3 linked regions of the Sus scrofa genome follow. The protein of the gene in region 1 binds, or shares a complex with, the protein of each later gene. Links are inferred from orthologs where the notes say so. Each region holds a gene or a part of one and is shown in the gene's direction. Other genes may lie near its edges.

What was found. The genes of interacting proteins can lie anywhere in the genome.
Region 2: the proteins of YWHAH (region 1) and NEDD4L are in contact, whole or in part, in a crystal structure (PDB 7NMZ), measured with the Homo sapiens proteins. The link is inferred for Sus scrofa from reciprocal best matches to the Homo sapiens genes YWHAH and NEDD4L. Residues at the interface, in NP_003396.1 of Homo sapiens: Arg12, Glu15, Asn39, Asn43, Leu44, Ser46, Val47, Lys50, Arg57, Lys125, Arg132, Tyr133, Gly174, Leu177, Asn178, Val181, Tyr184, Glu185, Leu221, Leu225, Asp228, Asn229, Leu232, Trp233; in NP_001138439.1 of Homo sapiens: Pro444, Arg445, Ser446, Leu447, Ser448, Ser449, Pro450, Thr451, Val452, Thr453, Leu454, Ser455.
Region 3: the proteins of YWHAH (region 1) and NUMB are in contact, whole or in part, in a crystal structure (PDB 5YQG), measured with the Mus musculus proteins. The link is inferred for Sus scrofa from reciprocal best matches to the Homo sapiens genes YWHAH and NUMB. Residues at the interface, in NP_035868.1 of Mus musculus: Arg57, Arg132, Tyr133, Leu177, Asn178, Val181, Glu185, Ile222, Leu225, Asn229; in NP_001129547.1 of Mus musculus: Gln274, Gly275, Ser276, Phe277.

What each region holds. Positions count from the first base shown.
Region 1 is NC_010456.5:48,542,314-48,547,276, forward strand, and holds the start of YWHAH (14-3-3 protein eta), read left to right. Parts: upstream 1-1,717; 5' UTR 1,718-2,039; coding exon 2,040-2,126; intron 2,127-4,963. UniProt on the Homo sapiens protein: Adapter protein implicated in the regulation of a large spectrum of both general and specialized signaling pathways. Binds to a large number of partners, usually by recognition of a phosphoserine or phosphothreonine motif.
Region 2 is NC_010443.5:162,439,877-162,444,273, reverse strand, and holds part of NEDD4L (E3 ubiquitin-protein ligase NEDD4-like), read left to right. Parts: intron 1-2,862; coding exon 2,863-2,924; intron 2,925-3,092; coding exon 3,093-3,195; intron 3,196-4,397. UniProt on the Homo sapiens protein: E3 ubiquitin-protein ligase that mediates the polyubiquitination of lysine and cysteine residues on target proteins and is thereby implicated in the regulation of various signaling pathways including autophagy, innate immunity or DNA repair.
Region 3 is NC_010449.5:96,630,748-96,635,144, reverse strand, and holds part of NUMB (protein numb homolog), read left to right. Parts: intron 1-2,686; coding exon 2,687-2,980; intron 2,981-4,397. UniProt on the Homo sapiens protein: Regulates clathrin-mediated receptor endocytosis. Plays a role in the process of neurogenesis.

The sequences.
Region 1 (4,963 bases):
CCACTCTCCAGTTCCTTCTCCTTTGTTTTTTTGTTTTGTTTTGTTTTTCATCTTTTTGCCATTTCTTGGACCGCTTCCGGGCATATGGAGGTTCCCAGGCTAGGGGTCTAATCGGAGCTGTAGCTGCCAGCCTAAACCACAGCCACAGCAACTCGGGATCCTACACCACAGCTCGCGGCATCGCCGGATCATTAACCCACTGAGCAAGGGCAGGGACCGAACCTGCAACCTCATGGTTCCTAGTCGGATTCGTTAACCACTGTGCCAGGACGGGAACTCCTCCTCTCTCTCCTTTCTAATGCATCTGACTCTCCAAAGTAAGACTCCTGGCCTGAAATGTGGCTTCCATGCCTCTGGTGGTTCCCAACTACCTAGGGATGCTTCAGATCTTCAGCCTGGCATTGAAAACACTCCACAGTCTTGTTTTTTACCTCACCTCATGTCCCACTGCCCGACCTTTCTCACCATTTTGTTTTTATCTTCACTGCCAAGGCTTTGTCTTTGCAGACCCCACTCTCTCCCACCTTTTCCCTGACATTATCTGGACCAGCTTACCTCCTTTGGGGTATTCAGACATCTGCTTCTCCGAGACAGGGGCTGCGTCTTAACTCTTTTTTTTTTTTTTCTTTTTTTTCTTTTTTGTCCTCCCCTGGGCATACGGAATTCCTGGGCCAGGGATCCAGTGCTAGATCCTTAAGCCACTGTACCAGGCTGGGGATTAAACCTGCATTCCAGCCCTCCCAAGATGACCTCATTGAGCCACAGAGAGAACTGAGTGTCCTACTCATTCTGCACCTACTCTTTCCCCCAGTGTTGAGCATGCAGTAGGTGCTCAATAAAATTCTCAGAGAACCTCAGGCCCCTTCTCCTGCACTGCCCTTCGCATGGTATACTAGGTCTGGTCATGCTTTAGTTATTGGGATTTTCCTCTCTTGTCCGAGGCCCAGCCCTGGGCCTGGCACCAGGGTTCCTCAGCGTGGAACGCCAGGACTGGCTCAGTGACCAGCGGGTCCACTCTCCTCTTTGCCACTTTACAGGCCAACAGTAACCTTGAGCAACTCACACTGGTCTGGCTTTGAAAAAAGAGGCCAGCTGTACCCACTGGCCTGAGTTGTGAGCATCAGATACGATCGTGCCTGGAAAGGCCTAGCACTGGGCCAGCTCCTAGCAGGTGTGTCACGAAGGTTATCCGCCTCAGCCGGGCCGGTCAGTCCCTCCTCCCGCGTAAAGGCACAGTCTGCACAAGGCCACTCCCTAGGGTGGAGGCGCAGTGAATGAATGTGTTGTGGGGTGGGGGTGGGGGGGACGTTAGGCGGGACCGACTCTAATCTGCCAGCGCAGACCCAAGTGCTGGGTGTGGCCCTGCGAAGCCGAACGGTTAGACTGGGCGGGGGCGGGTCCAGACCGCCCGTCGGGCATGCGGCCTCCTGGCTTCCCCAAGCGCTAGTTTTATTTGCTTTGGAGTCCCTTCTCAATCTAGTGCTCTAACATGGGTTCAGAAGCACCTTTCCGGGTGGGGCCGTGACAGTGCGCTGCCAGCGGAGCAGCCATCTCCCGGCCCCTTCCCCGATCTCTGCAGTCCCCACCCCAGCGGTCCCCTCTTCACCTCCACCTCTGCGGTGGTAAAATGCAGCACTCGCACGGCGCCTGCGCGGCTTTGGGGCGGGGCGGTGGTCGCAGCTATTTATAGTAGCTGACGTCACCTTGAAATAGACCGTTAGGGCCGGCCCGCCCTTCCCCCCTCCCACTTGCGCCGCTCCGCGCCGCCCGGCCCTGCCCCTCCCACTGCGCAGGCGTCCTCCCATCCGCCCATCCCCCCGCGTGACCGCCTGTCCTCTCTCGGCGGCGTCCGCGGTGCGAGCCACAGCGCGCGAGGCGAGCCAGCGAGAGGTCGATCGGTGCTGCCTGCTGCTTGTAGCCTAGGCGGGCCGGCGAGCCAGTGCGCGTGCGCGGCGGCGGCCTCCGCGGCGACCGGGAGCGGACGCGCGGGCTAGCAAGCGAGTGGAGCTGGGCGCGAGGCGAGGCCGAGCCATAGCGACATGGGGGACCGCGAACAGCTGCTGCAGCGGGCGCGGCTGGCCGAGCAGGCGGAGCGCTACGACGACATGGCCTCCGCCATGAAGGCGGTGAGCGCGCCGGACGCCCGGGCGGCCGGCCGGGGGCCCGACGCAGGGGAAGGGTGGGCAACCAGGCGGCTGCTCCCTCCAGGCCTGGGGCGACCCCGCCGCCCCGCTGGGCGCGGCCACCCGCCCGCACACCGCGCTTCCCGCGCCCGCCGCGCGCCCCGCCATTTCCTGCGGCCGGGCCCTGGTGGGGTTTCTAGGGAGGGGGTGCGGCGGTGACCCCGCGGGCGGGCCATCTGGTGGTCGGGGGTCGCCATATCCCAGCTCGGACCACAGGTGAGGGAGGGTGCCCGTGGGAAGGTGAGGGAGTCACATTTCTCCTTCTGGATATTTCTGTCGGGCTGGGGCACCCCCTCTTTTCTCCACACCCCAACTTGTAATAAAGAATCACCTAGTGAGTGGCGCCCTGTCTCTCATGGTTTCCGCTGCCACTACCTGCAGTCGGTGTAATTCCGATCCGTTTTTGCTCCGCTCGCTGGAATCGTTCTGGTTCCATCCTCCCACGCCCGGGGTCCGCATTGTGTGCGGAGACCCCCCCCCTCCCCCCCGCAAGCCGGCGGGAGGGTGGCGGGCGTGTGGCTCCTTCCAGGTTGGATGCGGCACCCATCTGCTTGGAGACTAAAACGGGTCGTGACTCCTGGGCGGGCCGAGCCCGTGTACCTTTGCCTTGCCGAGACCCTCAGAGACCTGTCTGCAGCTCGATTTCCGGGGAAGGAGCCTTTGCCGACCACACCCTGGCAAATGCCCTGGATTAGATACCACCTGCGTGCCTGAGACTTAGGGTTGTGGCGAACTCCTCGCTAACCTCGTCTCCGCGCATTATTTCACGTTTTCTCCAAATGAACATTACTTCCCTCTGCGTCAAGGTCACACGGGTATAGCCACAGCTGCGGCCACCAACCTGCCATGTTCACCCAGTGTTCCACCTCCTGAGACCTGAAAGGATCTCCTGGGGCCCCACCCTAGACCTAAAGACTCAGAAACCCTGGGGGTGGAGCTCAGCTGCACTTGAACCAGCCCTCAAGTGGCAAGTGTTAGTAGGTTTAAGTTCAGCAATTACTGCCCTGGATTCTTTTTTTTTTTTTTTTTTTTTAGACTGCCCTGGATTCTACAGCTCATTTGCCCTTTTTCGAGCCTTGGGAGGGGATTTCTTAGAGGAAAAAACCCACAAATACAGAGGCTTCCTAAAATGTCAGAGTCATATAAAAAGCTCCTTTTAAAGCTTTCAATAGTAATATGTGAAGTATGTTGTTGAGGTCAATATTTGGGCTTATCCAGGTAAGAAGTGTACTTGAAGAGTTATCTCTTCCATGTTGTCCTTGTCACACATTGAACCAGATGTTTGGAAACCACCACTGCTGCCGCCACCTCGCATTTGTTGATTCATTGGTGATCCCAGTTTGAGCCCTTGCTTGGTGTCATGGGCTAGGTGGGAGCTTTTCATCCAGAACAGGGATGATTTAGGTTTAGGACCTGATGTCTATGTAATTCTGGGGGTCTTATAAGAAAAACAAGTGTAAGATACAGTAATATAGCAAATTTTACAGAATCTGGACTTACTGTGTGAGTGCATTTCCTTGGAAGGGGTTCTAAGCTTAATCTTCAGAATAAAGCCACTTTTGTCCACCCAGCAAGTCACACTTAAGTATGACTTTTCCCCAGTAACTGAGTGCCACTGGGATTATACTGGTTGAGGCCGCTCTTTGGACATTTTAGTGAGGCCCTTACTTATCCTGGAGTGGGACTTGAAGGCCACAGTGTTAGGAGGCTTTTGGGGAATAAAGCAGGAATGGGGCTGGAATCAACGTTGATGCAGGTTAAGGGAAGATGACTGGAAGGTAGTTCTGGAGCTATAGGCAACTTGAAATGGGAAAGGAAGAATGCAGAGATCTAACCAGAATGAAACAGTTTGTGGAGAGAAAATAATTGATTTTCTGGTCTTTATAAGCAATCTTGAAAAAAACGCTTTCCTGCAGCTACCTACTTGTGTCCACAGATTTTTCTCTGAGATGTTAAGGTAGGATTTTGCAAACAGATGGTCCCTTTTGTGTATTGGGAATATGTAATATCTGCATCTGAAATGATTGATGGGTTGGATAAGCCATTAAATATTCAATCCAAACTCTGTTATCTCAGAATTTCGATAAACCATTTCCTCAAGGTACCTCCTATTAAATAATAAGAATTTGGGGGGTCACTTTGCCTGTTTCTCCTATTAAGGAAATTTTTTTCATCCTAATGGACTACATTTATTGGAAAGGACTTGACAGGGGTCAGTGGAAAACAGTTTCTCACATTTCTACCTGTTGTTTTTTGTATGTTAAATTCTTAATGTTATGGAGAAGACTCAGTCCCCATTTCATTAATATCATAGGCCTAAAGTATAGCTTTTGGAAAGAGAATTCTGGGTAACTCTTTGGGTTTATGTGGGTTTCTCAGGACAGGTAAGTAGACTGCTTGCTCTGCCACACCTGGGTGAGGGGATGTTCTGCTGCCACCACTCTGTGACCTTGAAGCTCACATCTCTTCTGATCCTCTGACATGTAAAACTAGTAATGTTGGTGTTACTGTCAAGTGAGTTTTCAGTCTTCATCCTTCTAACTTGTTTTCTGTTTCCTTTATAATTTAAATGTTACCTAATAACATTGCCTGCCTGTACTGGCTCATGTTCCTTATGCTGTCAGCGTCACCTGGAGGACCATGTCGGTAAGGTTTAAAAAAACCATGCAGGTTGGAAACAGTGGGTTGCCTCACATCCTTGAGAGCTGCAATTCCCTGCCTCACTCTATACTTCGAAGGGGCAAAAATGTTTTTGAAGTGAAGTAAAGGTGTGTCTTCAG
Region 2 (4,397 bases), on another chromosome or scaffold:
GAATGATGTTTCTGACAAGTGTTTGCCTTTCGTGCCCCTGAAATTTTTCTTACTCCTTAAGTCAGTTGTATCTTCCCTGTCCTTTGAGCCTCCAGCACACTCACCCTCTACCCAGATGCAAAACCTCTGTGTCGGTGGGAAACACCCTGGGGTAGAGAGAGCTATTGTCAAACTATGAATTTATCCTGTTTAGCCAAGGCAATCAGGGTTAACTTGAGTTTCAGTTTTCCTGCAGTAAGGCGTTGCTGGGGTGGTGGTGATGTTATTTGGCACCTTAATTGTACTTGCAGGTAACTCAGATAATGAACACCCCTTTTGTAATTCTGGCTGATACCAGGGTGATGGTTCCCTCTCACGTGTGCAGAATTCCATATCATTGAGCTTAGAGGGACCTCAGGAGACCATTTATCCACTCCCTGTATTTTACAGGTGAGGCCCCTTGGGCCCAGAAAGGGAAGTGACCAGACTTTGGGTCTTCAGCATTGATTTGGTGTCATCCAGGACCAGGGGGCAGAGGGGCTCAGGCTAAATCTTGGGTGCTTTCGGCAGTTTCATCCCGGTTTCAAGTCTAGGGTCCTGATAAGGCCATTCCCCTCTACTTGCCCACAAAGTTATTTATCTCATTGCATATATGTCAGAGTAATTGCAGTTCTGCCTAAGGCAACTCATCTTTTTAAGATGTAATTGCCAGGTAACCAGAAGATTTTCTTTTGAATGCTCGTGGCCTGGGACAGGAGCTAGTGGCCTCTATTTCAGCCAGGAATACTGTTAGCATCGACCTGTTTGAGATGGCTTTCTACCAGGTATGCTCTCAGTGCTGTCCTGGGAGTCTCCCCTGCACTTTTCTCCAGGGAATAGGATCAGGCAGGAACCTGAACAGTGGCAAGAAGAATCCTGCTGTTATCTGTGAGATCACTGCCTTGTTCACACTGGAGAATCTCCAAGGAGGTGACTTTTCAGTTGTTAATGCCCTGCCTTTATTGCAGAGCACTGAGTTGACAGTAATCACAAGTGACCTAAAAAGGTAGAACTGACTGATGATGCTAATGGCCAGCATTTGTTAAGTGTGGCAGGAACCCTCGTGAGGTCTTCATATGTACCGGGTTAATCAATCATTAAACCATTAACTGATTAGTTTAATGGTCACACACAACTTCTGAGCAAGATCCTGTTATTGCCCCACTTTAAAGATGTGGATACCGAGGCACAGAGAGAAAAGGAACTTGCCCTTGGCCACATGGTTCTGTAAGTAATGAAGCCTGGACACAGACCTAGGACATCTGCCTCTTGATCTGTGTGGTGATGTCATTTCAATTATGTATGTATGGATAGTTCCATTTTCAGAGTCCCTGTAAGCTGGGTGTTTCTTTGTTTTGTTTTTTCTGTCTCATTTTACTGCCTTAGAACAGTCTAGAGAATGTAACTAACTTTCTTGACTGATGGTGAATTTTCATGGCCTCGGGGGATCAGGCAGGTAAGTTGGCTACTTATACAGGTGTTCTTGGTGCCAGGGAATGCTCTTGGCACCAAGAATACAGTGAAGACCCAACTTAAATCTCTGATCTCATGAGGTTATACTGTGCAAGTGAAGGCTGATAAAGCAGTAAAAATAAAGGAGCAATATAATTTCAGGTGGTGAATTGGGGGGACATCAATCAGGATGCTTTGATAGAGGATGATAAAGGTAGGCTAATGGTGGTGATTTAGGATGCAGTGTCTGGGGATGTGACCTGGGATCTCAGATCTAGGTGGCAAAGTGGAGACCACTGTGACCGTCCGGAGCCGGGGTGTCCAGCAGAGGGACCTGCTGGGGCAGGATTAGATGGGATGCACACAGGACCAGTGAGGTCAGGATGGGTGGAGTGAAGGGTAACTGGAGAGACAGGTTCATAGTGAGGTTATAGGTCATTAAGAACCAGATCATGTTTAACCTTGTAGGTCCACAGGAAACAATTTTCATGCAGCATATTTTAAGCAGAGGAGGAGGCTATTGAGAGTTTAAAGCAGGGAATGACATAAACGGATAATGTTTCAAATATAAATGCATACAGACACATACACTTCTGATATATAATAAATTATGCTGTGGCTTGTCTCTCTTGCTTCAAAAGTAAATATTTTACATTGTGTTCAGTTAAAGAGACTAGTATTTAAAGTTTTAATGCATGGAGTATTTTTAAATTAGTGAAATAGTAATGTTTATTTTTCTAATTTCCTACTACTGGCTTTGACCAGTTGATTTTGCACAATAAAATGAATGCTGTTTGTTGTTTTTTTGTTTTTTATGAATAGCACAAGTACATTCATAGCTTCATGAAATAAGTACCAGCAAAGACCGATTGATGATGCCACCCAGGACAGTCTCTGGAGGAGATAACATTTATTGTCTTAGGCTGATGGCGTGATATTTTAGTGTTTAAAAGTCAAGTAAAATTGCCTTCACAGATTGATCTTGTATAGTTTCCTCTTAGCTCCATTATTAGGTTTCTTCTGTCATGGTGACAAGCAGGCTCCAGTGACCACTGGTTCTCTGAAGTTAATCAGCACCATGAGATTGAGGCCGGCACCCAGCAGTTAGAAATTATACTTGGCAGTGACCGACTATAACTTTGTCAATTGTCTAAGGCTGAGGTTGGCTCCTAAAAATGGATGTTGATAGTGACATCTAGTGGATCTTGAGTAGATAAAGTTCTGTGACCTATGAAAAGGTGTCATTAATTGTCAAGTCCTGGGTGAGGAACCAACCCCATTTTGGCCGCGCCCACATCCTGAAACACAGAAACCTGTTCTCTGTGATCCAGTTTGTTGTAAATGTAAAGTGAAACTTTCTGGAGTATTGAAACTTACTTTTTCTTCCTCTAGACAGAAGACCCAACCATGGAGCGACCCTATACATTTAAGGATTTTCTCCTCAGACCAAGAAGGTGAGGCCTTAAGATGCAGATGTTCTCTATCCTTTGGCCCTTGGTTTTCTCGGAGGGAGACTTCAACTTCTCCTCCTAGTTCGTCTTTTTAAAAAGTCATCAGTATGAACCATTGTAAAGATGTAACCAAGTCCTATCCTTTATAACCAATTTTCTTCCATCATACAGTCATAAATCGCGAGTTAAGGGATTTTTGCGATTGAAGATGGCCTATATGCCCAAAAACGGAGGTCAAGATGAAGAGAACAGTGAGCAGAGAGATGAAATGGAGGTAGGCTATGGTGCTCAGGCTGTGGTCTGTTTTCTTTCCTTAAGAGCGTATTTGATATTTTACTTTACGACTTTATAATTTGGAGTTCCCTGGTGGCTCAGTGGGTTAAGGGTCTGGTAGTGTCAATGCTGTGGTGCAGTTTCCATCCCTGGCCCAGGAACTTCCACATACCAGGGGCGGACTTTATAATGTATGGAAATGAAAGTTTATAAAGCTTAAATATGAAGAAACTTAAATGTGTCCATGAATCCATGTCTTTGACAGATCTACCAATGTATTTTCAGCAAAAGACATGAACTTTTTATGTTACAGCACTCATAATTGAGGAGGTTTCTCTCTAATAAATGCTATACCCTTGTTTTGTAAACAACCCTACTGCTATGTGAAATTCTCCCCACGTATTCTCTTATTTCCTTGGACTTTTTCAGCTGTCAGTTCCTTTTAGCACTTGGAATTGCTTCAAAGTGGATAAAATGATTTAGAGACTCTCATCCACATTTCTTACTCATTTGGCCTGCAGGTGATAGCGTGCATTAGGTTAGGAAAGTTCTCCTCCAGAAATGCCATTTCAAAATTAGCCGTCCAGAGGAATTTTCTTTTGTTCCCTCCAGGCAAGGCCACCTTTTAATTTTCTAGTCACATACCTGTGCTGTGGGTCCTGTGATACCTTCCTGGCACAGGCTTTGGACGGAGCTGTTCCGTTAGACAGATTCGCTTCTGAAAATGTCTGTGTACAAGACCTCTCTCTGGCTTGTTTGCACATCTGTTTGCAGCTGTTGCATATACATGATGTGTGAATAAGGCATTATGGGCAAGTTAATCGAGCCCCCCCTCAGACCAGGAGGTCATATTTCCAGGCAGTTTTTCACGTGCAGGCTTTTGTCTCCCTCTCTGTGAGAAGCCGTCTTGAATGTTAAGATTCCATAAGCACATTCACAGGTTTTTATCTCAAATCCAAGGAATTTTTTTTAACACTCTTCCAGCCTTCCAACTACAGTGACCAATGAATTAACTGAATTTTCCAGTGACTTTACTAGGGGACGTTAGGAAGGAATACCTAATGCCAAAAATATGTATGCAGAAAAGCACCTCTGACTCTGGTACTGTGAAGCTTGTTGAGGCGGCGGCAGCAAGCAGGGAATGGCCGAGTGGGAAACGGCAGCTTCCAGGCTTCTCTGGCTCCTGTGCCTGTGTGTCCTCGC
Region 3 (4,397 bases), on another chromosome or scaffold:
TCCTTTAGAGTGGCTTCCGTTATGTTAAACTACCCAGGGAAGCTGAGAGTACAGTTGAAGAAGCTGCAAAGACATTTAAAAGTAAAATTGGGAAAACATGCATCCTGTAACAGATTTTTAATTCTGATGCATCTGATCTCTGTGAGGAGCAGATGCTATCAAGAACCTACATCTTGGAGTTCCCGTCATGGCTCAGTGGTTAACGAATCTGACTAGGAACCATGATGTTTCGGGTTCGATCCCTGGCCTTGCTCAGTGGGTCAAGGATCCGGTGTTGCCGTGACCTGTGGTGTAGGTCGCAGATGCAGCTCAGATCTGGCATTGCTGTGGCTGTGGTGTAGGCTGGCAGCTACAGCTTTAATTAGACCCCTAGCCTGGGAACCTCCATATGCCGCGAGTGCAGCCCTAGAAAAGACAAAAAGACCAAAAAAAAAAAAAACAAAAACAAAAACAAAACACCTACATCTTGAAGGAAAAAGTACAAGTCCCAGTTTTAAGCTGCGGAGAACCCACTGACAGTGCTACCAGGTGTAAATGCAGGCAGAGATTTCTCGGTGCTACTCTTCTTATTAGATTATTACTGTTAATTTAGTGCTTTAGGGAGAAATGTCCACAGATTTTGAGAAGCTGGCCCCTAACTCTTTTTTCCATAGCCCCATTAATTTTAATCTGTGGTTTTGTAGAGTGTTGAGTTTTTTCAGGTACACAAGGCAGCATAGCAGAACTGCCTGTGTAAGCATTCAGGTTACCCGGAGGTTCTGTTCTCTAAAGTTGAGTGGGCATATTTTAGGACTAAGTCATAGGCCTAAGGGAAAATGCTTTGCATTATTGTGTATAACTAGGGTTGAAGCCAATAAGGAAGGTTTTGGAATCAAACAGTTAGTTTAATATACATTAATTTTGCTGTTTTTTTACTATATTCTTTTCATTCTAAACCAGCCATTTTAGAGAATATCATTAATCTGGGAGTTCCTGTTGTGGCTCAGCAGTGTAAAAACCCAACATAGTTTCCATGAGGATATGGGTTCAATCCCTGGCCCTGCTCAGTGGGTTAAGGATCCAGTGTTTGCTGCAAGTTGCAACATAGGTTGAAAATGCAGCTCAGATCCTGTGTTGCTGTGGCTATGGTGTAGGCCTGCAGCTGCTGCTCCAATTCCACCCGAGAACTTCCATGTGCCGCAGCTACAGCTGTAAAAAGAAAGAAAGAAAATAAGTAAATAACACGTTAATCTAATACTGACCCAAATAGCTCTTATTTTTAAGCCAAAAAAGAGGATACAAATTTTTATTCAAAATTAAATTATTGATTGTGATTTTTTTCATCTCTTATAAATATTGGGCCAGGATACCAAAGAAAAAAATACCATGCTATTTTAATTAGAAAATTTAATATGTATAGCTCTTATTTAATGTGTTTCAGTGATTTTCAGACTGGAAGCATGTTCTTTAATGCCACGAAATAGTATTTTTTGCTACACACAGCAACTGCCAAAATGGTTGCATCCTAGCATCTACAGAGAGGATCATGAGGGGAGGAGAGCAGAGATTTACCTCAGTCAGAGTGGGACGCAGCTGGTACTCATGTGGAAATAATCTTGTATCTAAGTTTGCTCCATTTTAAAATTTTACTTAGGGTAGTTCCCACTGTGGCGCAGTGAGGAACCAAGAGGTTGCAGGTTCAATCCCTGGCCTTGCTCAGTGGGTTAAGGATCTGGCATTGCCTTGAGCTGTGGTGTAGGTCATAGACGTGGCTCAGATCCTGCGTTGCTGTGCCTCTGGCATAGGCCAGCACCTGCAGCTCTGATTCAACTCATATCCTGGGAACTTCCATATGCCTTAGGTGTGGTCCTAAAAAGACAATAAATAAGTAAAATAAAATAAAAATAAAATTTTACTTCTGTATACTTTTATTCAAATGAGCCACAAATGCATCTTGCCCATGATTTAAAGACTGCTTTATGACATTCTTTGATATCAAACTTATGCTTGTTTAGACCTTTCTGACTCTGCCACTCCTAACGACCTGTCCCCCAAACACAAAAAGACTGAAAACTGTGAACAATTATTCTTTTTTTTTTCTTTTTCTTTTTTTTTTTTTTTTTTTTTGTCTTTTTAGGGTGGCCACACCCATGGCATATGGAGGTTCCCAGGCTAGGGGTCGAATTAGAGCTGTAGCTGCCAGCCTACACCATAGCCACAGCAATGCCAAATCCTTAACCCACTGAGCGAGGCCAGGGATCGAACCTGTGTCCTCATGGATGCTAGTCAGATTCGTCTCCACTGAACCACGACAGGAATTCCTGAACAGTTATTCTTTAAAGGACCTCACATTAGGAATTCATAGGTACTGAGTTGTTTTGGGGTTTTTTTTGTTTGTTTGTTTTTTGCTGTTTTTTTGTTTTTGTTTTTTTTTTTATCTTGTTCAGAGTCTTAAGTTAAATAACTGCATGGGAATCGAAGATCTAATATTTATGTCTTAGTGGATGTACCATGTCACATGTTGTAGATTATTAAACTTTTTTTTGTCTGAAAAATAGATTTGAGCCCTGCTTCTAACCTGTCCTTTAAAAGACATAGGGAAGGAAATGTGTAAAAGGACCTGGGAGGGGTTTTGAGTTCCTCAGCAGTATAAGCTCAAATTATTTGAAGACATTGCTAAGGTCCTCTTTCTCTTGACTTTCTTGAGCTGAAACAGATAAGACAGTTGTTGGTTCATCAGTGGCCCCTGGCAACACTACCCCATCCCCATCCTCCCCCACCTCTCCCACTTTGGATGCCACTGCCTCTCTGGAGATGAACAACCCTCACGCCATCCCACGCCGGCACGCACCAATTGAACAACTTGCCCGCCAAGGCTCTTTCCGAGGATTTCCTGCTCTTAGCCAGAAGATGTCACCCTTTAAACGCCAGCTATCCCTGCGCATCAATGAGTTGCCTTCCACTATGCAGAGGAAGACTGACTTCCCAATAAAAAATGCAGGTAATGCAGCATCCGCCTAACTCACTGGGTGCTCTGGCACTGAATTCATTATCATCACTTCCAGCAAACCCTGATCCCCTCAAACTAGCCACCCCTCCTTCTGAGGCTGGTTGATGGTTGAACCTATCTTGTATCATTTCCCTTTGGGAGAAAACTGAGGTTCATGGGGAGAGGCGTGAATCGTACATTTCTTGTAAATAAATAGGTATCAGGGTCATGATGGGAATTCCTAGCCCGAGCTGCAAGGTTTGTGGCTTGTCCTGATGAAAGTCTACCTGTTTCCAGACATCAAGGGTCTTAAGTTTCCATTCTTGTTCTGTCATTTGGGACCCAGCAGGGAATTAATTTGAAAGACTTTGGAAACATATCCAGTTAAATAGCATTACCGTAGGATGTACCAAAAGAAATGGATACGTTCTCATTGTCCTTGTGGCTGGTTGGCTCCACAGGGAAGAAACTCTAAACGATCTCCTGTGTAAATCTAAGACCTGTTGTTCATCAGAGACAGTGGGCTTGCTCACAGAGAGTCATTACCTTTCACAACTGCCACACGGGCCTTTGTGTGGCCTCTATACAGCTGAGCCAGCCCCTGTAGCTCTATCCTCATCATAAGATTCGGAGCTAAAGTGTCAGGTCTGGTCAGTGCTTTTATTGGAACCTATTTTACTTCACTCTGAGACATGTTGAGCCGGGGCTGTAACAGAATATGAGGAAGCTCTGCCTCAATAGAGCACTCCCACTGGTGGTGGTACAGAGGTACAGAGAGTTAAGTTCTTTGATGGATAAAACTAGACCTAAAGAATAGTTGGACTAGATGACCACTGAGTCTTTCCACCTCTCAACCCCTGTAAAAAACGAAACTCCAGTTGCTTCAAGTACCTCATTTTTAGTTTCACTCTGGAGCAGAAGGGAAACAAAAACCACTATTCTTTTTTCACAGTTGGAACTCATGTTATAGACATTTTTCATGTTGTCACAGCTCATATACCTGGTACTTTGGAGAAAAAATGAGAGTGATGACATTGTCATAGTTGATTACAGAGAAAAGTACTGAGCACACACTGGTGCCCCTGACTTTAACCCATTTTCTGACAAGAGTTTCTGAAGGGCTCCAGAGCTTAACTCAGACCACAGCCTTGAGACCTGGTCAGAAGACAAACAGGTTACAGATACCTTTCAGAAAAATCTCACTAACTGAACATCTTGACACAAAAAGAGTACAGCAAGTTCTCAACAGAGTCACACAGGAGAGGAAATAAAGAAATCCGGGGATTTGCAAGAGAGGAAGATAGACCTTAGTAAGGAATTGTTATCATTTTATACCTTCTCATGTGAAAAGCCAGTGAACAGTGGTCAGTAAATTTTTTGAAGCTGCTTTTTTAGCCCCTCTTGACAGTTGAGACTTTTCCTTCCACAA